3 linked regions of the Mus musculus genome follow. The protein of the gene in region 1 interacts with the protein of each later gene in a pairwise test. Links are inferred from orthologs where the notes say so. Each region holds a gene or a part of one and is shown in the gene's direction. Other genes may lie near its edges.

Region 1 (4,162 bases):
AGGAAGGTCTCGACCCTCTCTCCGCTGACGCCTCAGACTGCAGAAAGGGCGCCCAGGGCCACACTGCACGCTTCCAGCTCTTCGCCAAAGGACAGCTGGCAGGCCTCGTGAGAACAAAGGTGAGCCACAGGGCTCCACTGTCCCCACAGTGACAGTGCCATGGGGTGGGGGAGGGTAAGAGAGCAGACTCAGGCTAGAGTGTGATCTAAGCAGCTCTGATAAGGTTGCCACCCAGAATGTCCAAACTGTCTTGTAAGCTTGGACCTACAGCGAGAGTGATTTAGTTCCTGCCGGATGTCAGGACATCCTGAAACACAAGGCCTGACCTTGGAGGCCAAGTGCAGTCAGTAGGCATAGTTAATCCGATGGTTCAGTGGGCTGCATGGCTCACTGCCTCTCTCCTCAGCGACCTCTGAACAGTGCTTGCCTCCTGCCAGAGGACAGCTGAGCTCAGTAGGAGGGACAGCTGAGGGTCAGGGAACCAGGACTTCCCCAGGACCCCCACGGAGGTCTCAGGGAATGGAAAGGATCACTCTGTCTTCCAGTTCCAACTGTCCCCTGTGTTCAGTGTACCCTTTGCTCCTCTGCTGAGCCTCAGTTTCCACATCTGTAGACTGGGCCTGAGGGTTGTTTTCCAAAGCAGAGTAAACAAAGTCATTTCAGTTACAGTGTCCTTGAAGGCCATCACAAAGACCAGGCAAAACATTTTGCGGTTTTGTTTGAAGCATCAGTGAGCTGTAAGATTTGAACCTCATAGATCACAGCTTTAAATAGGTGGCTGTGGGCTGCAAAGACAGGCCGGTGCAGGGGAAGGTGGCAGGGAAGAGGACTCCTTTTCCGGTGGCCCCCAAAGTACAGGGCTGCTGTGGCCAAAATCAAGTCACTGCCCACTGTTGTCTGCCTTAAGTAGCCTCAAGGAAAGCACCTCTCTGCATGGATCGGAGTGGACACCAGGCAGGCCTTGTCTACCCTTAAAGGACCAAGCAGTGGACCACCAGTACTCATCAGTGCAAAGCCAAGTCCTTTCTGAGGACTGGGAGACATGGTTCCAAGTCAGGAATCTCTGGGCAAGCGCAGCTTCCAGCAGAAGTCCCCAGAGACCCTTGCAAGTAAAACTGTCCCTTTTCCGGGGGAAAGAGGAGAGGGCAAGGACAGGAACCTGCCCCAGAGACCTGGACCCATTAAGCTGATGGGAGTGGGGGCGGAGCTTAGGGGATAGGGGTGGGGCCCTGCGAACTTTGGCTGCTTGGCTCCCAGCCCAGCCTCCCGCCTCCAGTTCTCCGCCTACTTGGAACAAACACTTCCTGCCTGGGACCTGCGGGCCTATAAATACAGCCTCCTAGGGGGTGGACACATTAGGCCTGTGGCCTAGGGAAGCCCAGGCTCGTACCAGCAGGTAAGAGGCTCTGGCAGAGGCTCCCGACCAGTTCAGAGGAGGGTGCAGAGGTGGCCTGAAATCCAGACACTTGCTGCACAGCTTAGGGGGTGACAGTCTTCTCCCCCTGGAAAGCTAGGCATTGGCTTTACCATCTATAAAATAGTTCTGTGGTGACAGTCGTGTGGGTGGGAACAGTCGACCTTCTGAATGTCTGAGTCCCCCTTCTCAGCTTAGGTCCTCAGAGAGAAAAGTGGGGAGAGCGACACTCACCCTCAGAACATTCCAGAAGAGGGACTGAGGTTGCAAGGGGGAACAAAAATTTGGCTGCTGGTGTCTTGAACTTGGCTTCTGGGTACAGGTGGGTCACAGTTGGCATCCCCCTGCCTCAGACTCTTCTGTGGGGAGCTCACCCTACTGTTCAGGCTCTGGATACTTAGATTCCACATCTCTTGTGCAGTTCTTCCCCACACTGGGAGATGTCCTCCCTACCTGGGTCCCGGGAGCCCCTGCTCCGTGTGGCTGTGACTGGAGGCACCCACGGGAATGAGATGTGTGGTGTCTACCTGGCCCGGTACTGGCTACAGAACCCAGGGGAGCTGCAGAGACCCAGCTTCTCAGCCATGCCGGTTCTGGCCAACCCAGCAGCCACAGCTGCCTGTTGCCGTTACCTGGACCGTGATCTCAACCGCTCCTGCACCCTCACCTTCCTTGGGTGAGTACCCTCAGCCAGGCTGGCCGGTCCACAGCCAGGTACTAGCATCCCTACAGACTGGTCACAGTGGCTAGCAAGGCATCTCTGTCTTTTCTCAATGACCATATGGTTTAGCGAGATCCAGATCAATGTCACCTCTTCCAGGAAGTCTGCCCAGTAGGCCAGACTCTTACCAGCTGAAGTGAGACATACATGGGGAACAGGACCAACATGTCAGCTTCAGGTTACTGGAGGCACAGAAAAAGACTGGGGTGAAGGTGGGACTACATGGAGCATCCAGCCTGACCAAGAGAAGTCAGGGAAGGCTTCTTGTAGGAGGTGGCATCCAGCTAATCTCCCCCCTCCCCCACCAAAGGTGAGAAGTTAGCCAAGGAAAGGGAGACTGAGATGATGGGGACTGATGTCCCCCATTCCTTTCCCCACAGTTCCACCGCTACCCCTGATGACCCCTATGAAGTGAAAAGAGCCCGAGAGTTGAACCAGCTGCTGGGTCCCAAGGGCACAGGCCAGGCTTTTGACTTTACCCTAGACCTGCACAACACCACAGCAAACACTGGAGTCTGCCTCATCTCTGAATCCAACATCTCCTTCAACTTGCACCTGTGCCACTACCTACAGGTGGTCCCTAGGGGGCAGGAAGGAGGGCGGGGAGGGGGCAGAGGGACCAGTGCCACCTGAGGTACTCCAGGCTCGCCTTAACCTTCCAACCAAGGAAAAGAGGTGGGGCAGGGTGGACGACCCTGTGCCTCCTGCACACTGCTCTTCCCAGCGTCAGTGCCTCAGTTTCCCCTCAAGAAGGCCTGGGTCCTGACTGGTGCCTCTCACCCCACAGCGGCAGAACCCGGGGATGCCCTGCCGCCTCTTTCTGTATGAGCCAGCTGGGACGGAGACCTTCAGCGTGGAATCTATATCCAAGAATGGAATCTGTGAGCTGACGGGTGGGAAGGAGAGCAGGAGGAGTAGGCAGGGAGGGGGAGGAGTCAGGAGGGGCGGAGTTAGGAAGGGTAGAAAATAAGCAGAATTGGGGGGGGAACCTCCTACCATGGCTAGGCCTGGGCCGTTTGCCTGACATCTCCTTTTCTGGCCCCCCAGGTCTGGAGATGGGCCCACAGCCTCAGGGCGTGCTGCGGGCCGACCTGTTCTCCCGGATGCGAGCTCTGGTGGCATCCATTCTGGACTTCATCGAGCTCTTCAACCAAGGTGAGACCCCCCAGTAGCTTTTCAGGAAAACTGAGGTCTGAGGAAAGGGTTGGCTTCTGGAAACCAGAGGGACAAGTGGTCACACACAGCCTCTACACAGGCATGGACTTACCCGCCTTTGAGATGGATATCTACAGGAACTTGGGCAGTGTGGACTTCCCACGCACTGCAGATGGTGACCTGGCTGGCACTGTGCACCCTCAACTGCAGGTTGGTGTTGTGGGAGCCGGGGTGGGGGTACCCAGAACATCCGACTGAACCCCTAGTAGAATCCTGAGCTGGACCAGAAGTTGGTGCAGTCCACACCTGCACCTAGAGCCCCGCCCCAGCCTGGCATTTGGAGCAGCTGAAATCTTCACAGTGGAGTAGGGAGGCTGGTGGATGCTGCCCTCCTTTAACAGGAGAAGCCAAGGGGAGGAGACAGGACGCAAGTCACCTGCTTAGAAGTACAAGTATTCTTTTTCCATGGAAATGTGAAAAGCTCCATGCCTGGGAGCTGACTGTCCACAAGGGGCGCTGTTAAACAGGCTCTTGTGCAGTCCTGTAGCCTTTTTCTACAGCAGTCTTAGTAGTTTTAATCTCATTTATGACATCTGGGAGAGCATCCTAAGCCAGACCTGCCCATATGCTTTGCAAATGATGTGTAACAACAGCTATTTTAGAGATTTTACTTTAAAAAATATAAACATGTTCAGTATTTTGTCCAAGAAGAGAGAGTGTATACAGGAGTGATTCTGATAAGATTATTTCTTTTCTTTTCTTTTTTTTTTAAGATTATTTATGTGAGTACATTGTTACTGTCTTCAGACACACCAGAAGAGGACATTGGATCTCATTACAGATGGTTGTGAGCCACCATGTGGTTGCTGGGA
Region 2 (4,216 bases), on another chromosome or scaffold:
CAGGATTTCTCTGTATAGCCCTGGGTGTCCTGGAACTCTCTGTAGACCAGGCTGGCCTCAAACTCAGAAATCTGCCTGCCTCTGCCTCCCGAGTGCTGGGATTAAAGGCATTCGAAGAGCAACATTTTTATTGATGACACTAGAAACACAGCAGTTCCTAATCTTAAAATTTAAAAAGATTTTAGAGTGTGCTTAGTCTAGCACACATAAAGATTGTGTGTGTATACGATTGAAATCCTGTAACTATCCCTATTACGACAACTGATCTCCTTTGCCAGTTTTGTTCTGGATACTAATTTAAAACAACTGTATTTGTTTCACAGACATTCTTCTTCCTCTTCCTCTTCTTCTTCTTGTTTTTCGAGACAGAGTTTCTCTGTAGACCAGGCTGGCCTTGAACTCAGGATTCCGCCTGCCTCTGCCTCCCAAGTGCTGGGATTAAAGGCGTGTCCAACACCGCCCGGCAGCTCTCAATCTTCTTAATGCTTTAATATAGCTCCTCCTATTGCGGTGGTCTCCACCATATAATTATTTGTTACTACTTCATAACTGTAATTTTGCTGTTATGAATCATAATGCAAAATATGTTCTCCGATGGTCTTAGGCGACTCCTGTGATCCGCAGGTTGAGAACTGCTCAACAGGAGGCTAAAAAGAAAATTCCTGAATAAAACTTTAATAATAACCCAATTTCTACCCCTTTCCTGTTTAAACGGTGTGCTTTTCCCAGCCAGCCAGCCTAGATGCCTCTGCTATCTCTCCGCAGCGCCTAGTAAACGCTCTTCTAACCCAGCGTCATGGTAGCACCGAGTTCTAGGTACGCGAAGCAGTTGGCCGAGGGGAAGTTTTGAAAAGAGCGGAGTTCTTCGGCATAAGGTTACACAGGAGCCTGCGGGTCATGGGTGCGGTAAGCGCAGACCCCTGGCTTGGGAGAAAGCGACAGCAGGTGTTCGGCTGAATGGCCGAGCCGGGCGGGGTTGGCAGACGCGGTTGGGTGGCGAGAAGCAAAGCCTTTCCTGTTCCTTAGGGCGGGAGGCGTGGAGGCAGCTTCCGCCCATTCTTCCAGAGAACTTCGCGGACTGCTTAAGAGCCCTTTCCGAAGGCTAGCCCGAGTCAGGAAAGTCAGGTCAGGCGACCCAGTCCAGCCTCAGCTGGCTCAGACGCGCGTCACCTCTGCAGAGGCGCGCGTTCCCCAACCCCGCCGGGGGAGGCCCCCGAGTGGGTGTGGCCTCCGCTGAAGAGCCCGCCCCCCGTGCGGTCGCGTGGGGATGGAGGGGCGGGGCAAGGCGATGGGCGGGGCGAGGGAGCCGGGAAGAAAGGGCAGGGCGGGTGTGCTCGTGCCCGTGTTTGGCGCTTGGGCGGGGGCGCGCCGGTGCGCGCGCAGGAGGGAAGCCAGCCGGAGCGGCCGTTGTCGGGTTCGACTGGAGGGGCGGTGAAGTCACCTGCGAGCGGCTGCGCCCGCCGCGTCCGGATCGCGCCGGCCTCGCGGGGCCCCACGCAACCCTGCGAGGCTGGGGTCGGGGAGCAGGCGGAGTCCGCGCCCGGAGTCGGCGACTAGGAGGACTCGCACCCTCGGCGCCGCCGCCCGCGCGGGGTCGGGTAGGTGCCATGGGGGTCGGGACGCACCGGGCGGCGGCGGGCTGGGGAGGGAGAAGCGAAACTTTGCGGGCGCCTATCCCCGCGGGCCCGGGCCAGCCGTGGCGCGGGGAGGGGTTGGCGCGGGCGGCGGCGGCCGACGCCATGTTGGGGTCTGTGGGAAACGGGGCGCTCGGGCGGCTCCCCTCCGGGCCGGCGCTCGGGCTGGAACCGCCTGGGTCCCGCCGCGCCCGTCCGCGGGACGCCGCCCGGAGGGCCAGGGCCGGGACCATAGACGGCGGCTGGGGACTGGACCTCGCGTCGCCCCCGAAGTTGTGGGGCAGCAGGACTCGGGTCCCCAGATCGTGCGGTCTGAAAACTTTGCAGGGTCTGGGCGTCAGGGGCACGCTCTGACTCCAGCAGTTTATTTTATGACTTTATATGAAAATGGCACCGTACAATTGGCTCAGATAGGAGCGGTAGCTTACACGCTACTTGAAGGGTTTTTTTTTTTTAAGTTTTATGATCTTTTGCCTAGTTTTTTTTTTTTTTTAATGTTATTAAAGGCCAAGAGCTGGTTCCCCAAGTTGCTCGAGTAGCCTTGTATAGTCCTCGAATATTAAAGCAGTAAGTTGTGTGAGTGTGCAGTGGAAATGACTAGTATTCAGGTTACATACACCTAAGCAGTAATTCAGACTCCCAAGTACATTAAACTGGTAAATGCCTTCTTTGTTATGTTTTAATATGTTGCCTAAGAGACTCGTTAAAGAACCATTTAGAGTTGAACGTTCAGTTGAAACGTTAAGGCATGTGTTGTCTTAAGACTAAGTGAAATAACCCAGTGTGTTGGCTCATGCCGGTTTTCTGAGCACTCCCGCGGGCTAGGGCAGAAGCATTGCCGCGAGTTCAAGGCCAGCCTTGGCTACAGCTTGAGTCTGAAACAAACAACCCCAGGACCACAACAAACAGATTAGGGTGATTTTGACGATTCAGTTTTTTTTTTATTCTTTTTCCTTTTCGTTCCTTAAAGGTGCATGAGTTTTGAGCCCCTATCTTTGTACCTTTATAGCTTAAGGGGTGGGAGGACCCAGGTTAAATCAGAATTAACCCAGGCTATTTTTAATCACTATGGGTCATGAGAGCATTGGGAGGTGAATGGTATTAAGTTGCTTATTTGGAAAGCTCTTTATAATCGCCCCTGCCCCCAAATGAAACTGGTGTACAGCATGAAGTAGCCTAGTAAATAAATACCCTTAAAAAAATAAAGGCGGCTTTAAAATTATGTTAAATGGGCTGAAAAGACTCTTAACAATGCAGAAGCCGTAAACAGCCGTGGTGGTTTTCCTTTTTTACTCTTTAGTTTTTTAAAATCATTCTACTATGTGGGGAAGGAGGAGGCACGCAGCCCCAGACCTCACGCAGAGAGGTCAGAAGACAAATTTCCTGAGTTTCTTCTCTTCACCATGTGATTATGGGGATGGAATTTAGGTTGTCAGGCTTGGGGGCCAGCTGCTATCATTACTTTCTGAGCCACTTTTCTGACCCCTCTATTTTTAATTATATCGTGTGTGTGTGTGTGTGTGTGTGTGTGTGTGTGTACATTTGTGTGGGCACATGGCACAACTGTGGAGGTCAAAGGGATAACTTTGGAAGTTGCTTCTCCATCCACCTTCTGCCCCAGGATAGAGCTGAGGCTGTCAGGCCTGGCCTCAGAGCCTTACCCCACAGAGCCATCCCTGCCCCTCTTTTTAGTGTTTAGTAGGTAAAAGTACTTTCTTAGGTATGCCAACTTTCTTTAAATTTTTCTTTAATTTTTGCTCCCTTGTCAGGTCACTTCCATTTGATATATATTTATTTTTTGGACCAAAAATTATTTATCAGAAAGAAGTTACTAGCCTGATATCACAAATCTTAGTAGTCAGTCTGCAGCCATCTGATCGTTTCTAGAGCATGGCATAACTCATCCCTGTGTGGGCATTCTCTTGCCCATCTCGTTTCTTCACTTATCCTAATTCAGGCTTCAGTAGAACTGTCTGCTAAAGAGCTGATAATGCAAGGGTATGATACTGACTGTTTTCTTCTTAAAAACTTTTTGTGGAAGCTGGGGGTGTAGTGGAGCACGGCTGTAATCCCAGCACCCTGAGGCCAAATTGCTGAGGGGTTGATCTGGGATTCATAGTGAGACTGTCTCAAAACCAACCAAAACCAAATCTACCCTCAAACCTGCCCTCTTTGATGCTTTCCCACCCACTGTGCAGACCAGCTTCCTCTTTCTCCATTGGATTCAACCCTAGGCGTCCTAGACCTACCACCTAGGTCTGTAATGGCACGCCCTTGACGGCAGGCCTCATGTGAGGTCCCATTTGCTTGTCCATCTTCCGCAAGCCAGAATGGAGCAGATGCTCAGGGGAGGCTTAGATGGTTCCCTGTAAATAGTCTTCATAAACTTACTAAATTGTCATTTATCCGTGGGATAGCTAAGCTTCTCCGTCGTCTGCCCTACGCACTACAAACTCCATTCAGTTGGCGGATGAAGGGCTTGAATTTGTGTGTGTGTTTTCTTTTTAGACACAATTAACTATTTCCAAGCAGATAATAGACTGATGGATAGTTGTGATGGAGAGAAGCTGTGGATGGACAAA
Region 3 (3,582 bases), on another chromosome or scaffold:
ATTAAGAGAGGTGGCTGCTCTTAGACCCAGGTGAGATGACACGGGGAAAGCAGCAGAGGACCTGTCCATGAAGTGACAGGGAGTGGTGAGCAAGGATATGAAAGAGACAAGCTGCGTCCTTCTCCAAAGGTGTTAGTCTCTCTCCCTCCTCTCCCAGGCTGTGCTGGGGCTGGTGCTCAGGAGCCCCAGGCAAGCTGCACCCCCAGCCCTGCTGAGCCTTGTATCCTCCCCATCCTGCAGGTGGCCAAATCAGCATTGACGTCTTTCCTGAAGGATGGGATAAGCGGTATTGCCTGAGACACCTGGAACATGCTGGCTATAAGACCATTTATTTCTTTGGAGACAAGACTATGCCGGTAAATAGGAAGGTCTCCTGTGCTGTTTTGCCATCTTGCATCCTACCTGATGGCCTCCCTCCCCTCAGAGCTTTGAGGTCCTGCCCAGTGGGAGCAAGGACTGTAGATGGTCATCAGTGTGTCCTTTGAATTAAGTATCTTCACTACTGCTGCTTTATGATTCTGCTCTACCCTCCCTCCTGTGTTCATAGTAAATTGCACGCTAGGGTAACAAACATGGGAAGGTGGGGCATTATCTGAGTCTGATGCGCACTGTTAGTCGGGATAACTTGAAGTGAGCATCTGCCTAGTGTCACCCAGAGTGCTGGAGACCACAGTGAGAGCTTGCAGAAAGCCCAGTTCAGCATAGACGAGGTCTGAGCGCCGTCGTTTCCCCAGAGCCACTCTGCAGCCTCTGAGGCTCTCCCTGCACAGCTGCCTACGGCCACGACCCAAGGCCTGAGAGGTGCTTTAGAACCAGCTACTTAGCGCTGTGCTTGGCCTTGGGTCCCGGTTGTGTGTCAGCTTCTCACCTTGCACTGCCCATGTCACCTTTTTGTAGGATCCTGGTTCAGGCATGGTAGCCGTTGTGAACCCTGTAGGGCATCCATCATAAATGCTGCAACTGCGGCTCTGGTCCCTTTGACAGCTGCTCACCCTGTCGGGATCAACACTGTCCAAGGTCTGCTTGCAGCAGGGTCCTGGTAACAGTGGATTATCTTACTTAGTGTGACATCCTCCAGATTTATCAACAATAAGAATCTCCTTTCTTAAGGCTAGATAATCCTGCACTGTATGGGTACGCAGTTTACTTAATCCATCCTTTGGCAGACTTGTGACTTTTGTTCTCTCAGTCACCATAAGTAATGCCTCTGTGAATGTGAGCCTGTGGCTCATTGTGTTTGGTTGTCTATCTGAGCTGACATGGCAGCCCCCCTTAGAAAACATAGGCGGCAGCCTCTGGACATTGTCGTGGGCAGCGGAAGCCAAATAAACAAGCAGGCCTGGACCGGGCAAAACCACTGCTGCTGCTCAGCAAGAAGAGCACAGCAGGAGAAGGCGGCCTGTGGTTGGGTGGCAGTGCACACTCTCAGGCCCAGCACTTGGGAGCCAGAGACAGGCAGATATCTGTTTAAGGCCGGCCTGGTCCACACGGTGAGTTTCAGGTCAGCTAGGGCTATACAGATAGACCCTGTCTTTAAAAATCAAAACAAAAACCAAAAGAGCCTATGAAATGTGAGGGAACAAATACTCAACCAACCATATATCTGTCGATCCAAAATGTACCAGACTCCTGCAACTCAGCAGCAAAGTAAGAACTCCATTTAAGGGCTGGGGAGATGCTCAGCAGGGAAGAGCACCGGCTGCTCTGCCAGCGGATCTGGGTTTGGTTCCCAGCACCTATATGGTGGTTCACAACTGTCTGTAATACCCGTCCCGTGGGAATCAGAAGCCCTGTTCTGTCCTCTGTAGGCATCAGGGCACAGTGATGCACAGACACACACGCAGGCAAAACACCCGTACATATAAAATAATAGAAACAAAGAACCTGATTTAACATGTCTGAAGACACACAGTGGACTCCTGAGCACATAGGGTTGACATCTGAATCACAGGTCATAAGAATGTATATCCAGGTCACAGTGAGAGCCAATTCTACTATTAGACTGGCCATTTTTAATAGACACACACAGAAGAAGGTAGAAATTAGTGACTCTTTACCTCAGAACAGTAGATGGTACAGTCAATATGGACAACTATATAGAGTGGTCTTCAAAAATCCAAAAATAGAACCTCTTATGATCCAGGAATCACACTGCTGAGTATAGATCCAAAAGACTAGCGATCTGGTCCTCGGAAGTCTTTACATGAGTGAGCTCCGTGAGCCATGAATAAATTCAGCAGAGAGGAGGGCAGTAGCAGCGTCTGTTAGGTAGGCTGCAGTAAAGATTCTGCTAGTGTGTGTGTCTGTCTGTCACGTTGCCCAGGTGGTGCGGGTCTTATCAGGTAGGACAGCATTGAGTTTGTTTCTTTGGGGAACTGGTTATCAGAATAGCTGGGATCAGATGTCTGCGTCTGCTTAAACGTGTCCAGTTTTTCACAACAATGTAGCTCTCTGACCAGATAATAGACCTAGTCCAAGGAGCTGTGACAGTGCTCCAAGCCAGCCAGCTCTGAAGCAAAGCAGCCTTGTTCTGAGGGTAGAATAACAGCACAACCATTCTCCCAGAATGTTCACACAACAGGCTTCTCTGCAATCACGACCCAGCCCCATGTGGTATGGGAATGCCATCTAGACGCCTTGCTGGAACTTCGCAGATGAAAATGCAATGAAGCTGATAGGACTCGAGGGTTTGCTACTCGGTTTACCTCTTGCATTACCACTGCTTTGAATCATGTTTTTATTAAGTGAATCCAGGTGTGGTGGTATATTCCTATAATCCTAACACTTGGGAGGCAGAGACTGGAGAATTGCATGTTGGAAGTCAACCTGAGCTAAGTAATGGGATTCTGTCTCGTATTCCTCCTCCCTGTCTCTCTTCTCTCTTTCTCATCTCTTTCCTCTCTGTCTCTCTCCTCTCTTTCCTCTTTCTCATCTCTCTTTCTCTGTCTCTCCTCTTCTCTCTCTCTCTTTCACTCTCTCACACATGCACACACACAGCTTGTTCTCTTTTGTATTCTGGTTTATAGCTGAGCTATGTCAGTTTAAAGCCATTCCCCTGCTCTAAAGAGGCAGGGTTGATCACATGGGGGGGAGGAGGTCTGCAAAAGTGAAAGAATGTGCAGCCAGCTGCAGCTCTCGCTCTGCATGTGGTTCTCAGGAGAGGGGTGCTCCGGGCACAGCCTCACAGTGGGCAGTCACTGCCTGCGCTGATTCAACCAGGACATTTTGCTGTTCATAGAATCCAAGGTTTAGGGCAAGTTTAGGGCAGTAACTCTTACTCTTTCCAGTTTTGAAAGGAGTAAGAGGGATTGGTTTGCTGACTGACGCTCAGATGGTAAGGGCCGAGGCGGGATATGAAGTCAGTCCCTGTGTGTTTTGCAGTGGATGCTTCCAAGTGCCTGCTGTGTGCTTTCTACAGAGGTCCTGTGCTTACAGACGCCCATCCCACTTGAGACTTCCTCTGAGACTCCTGTGCAGATCTCTCTACCTGCTGCTGGACTCACTCAGACTGCTGCCTACTTTGTAGTCCCCACCCTGCCTTCTTTCTTCCTGTCTGCTCGGATACTGTTACTGGGCCATTGC

The links.
Region 2: the proteins of Acy3 (region 1) and Plekhf2 interact in binary tests that used the Homo sapiens proteins (3 or more experiments, as listed by UniProt). The two-hybrid records come from large-scale screens. The link is inferred for Mus musculus from reciprocal best matches to the Homo sapiens genes ACY3 and PLEKHF2.
Region 3: the proteins of Acy3 (region 1) and Pmm2 interact in binary tests that used the Homo sapiens proteins (3 or more experiments, as listed by UniProt). The two-hybrid records come from large-scale screens. The link is inferred for Mus musculus from reciprocal best matches to the Homo sapiens genes ACY3 and PMM2.

What each region holds. Positions count from the first base shown.
Region 1 is NC_000085.6:3,985,216-3,989,377, forward strand, and holds the start of Acy3 (N-acyl-aromatic-L-amino acid amidohydrolase (carboxylate-forming)), read left to right. Parts: upstream 1-1,354; 5' UTR 1,355-1,396; intron 1,397-1,607; 5' UTR 1,608-1,736; intron 1,737-1,835; 5' UTR 1,836-1,854; coding exon 1,855-2,090; intron 2,091-2,515; coding exon 2,516-2,708; intron 2,709-2,922; coding exon 2,923-3,016; intron 3,017-3,182; coding exon 3,183-3,290; intron 3,291-3,390; coding exon 3,391-3,500; intron 3,501-4,162. UniProt on the Homo sapiens protein: Plays an important role in deacetylating mercapturic acids in kidney proximal tubules. Also acts on N-acetyl-aromatic amino acids.
Region 2 is NC_000070.6:11,004,775-11,008,990, reverse strand, and holds the start of Plekhf2 (pleckstrin homology domain-containing family F member 2), read left to right. Parts: upstream 1-1,371; 5' UTR 1,372-1,598; intron 1,599-4,216. UniProt on the Homo sapiens protein: May play a role in early endosome fusion upstream of RAB5, hence regulating receptor trafficking and fluid-phase transport. Enhances cellular sensitivity to TNF-induced apoptosis.
Region 3 is NC_000082.6:8,651,170-8,654,751, forward strand, and holds part of Pmm2 (phosphomannomutase 2), read left to right. Parts: intron 1-240; coding exon 241-356; intron 357-3,582. UniProt on the Homo sapiens protein: Involved in the synthesis of the GDP-mannose and dolichol-phosphate-mannose required for a number of critical mannosyl transfer reactions.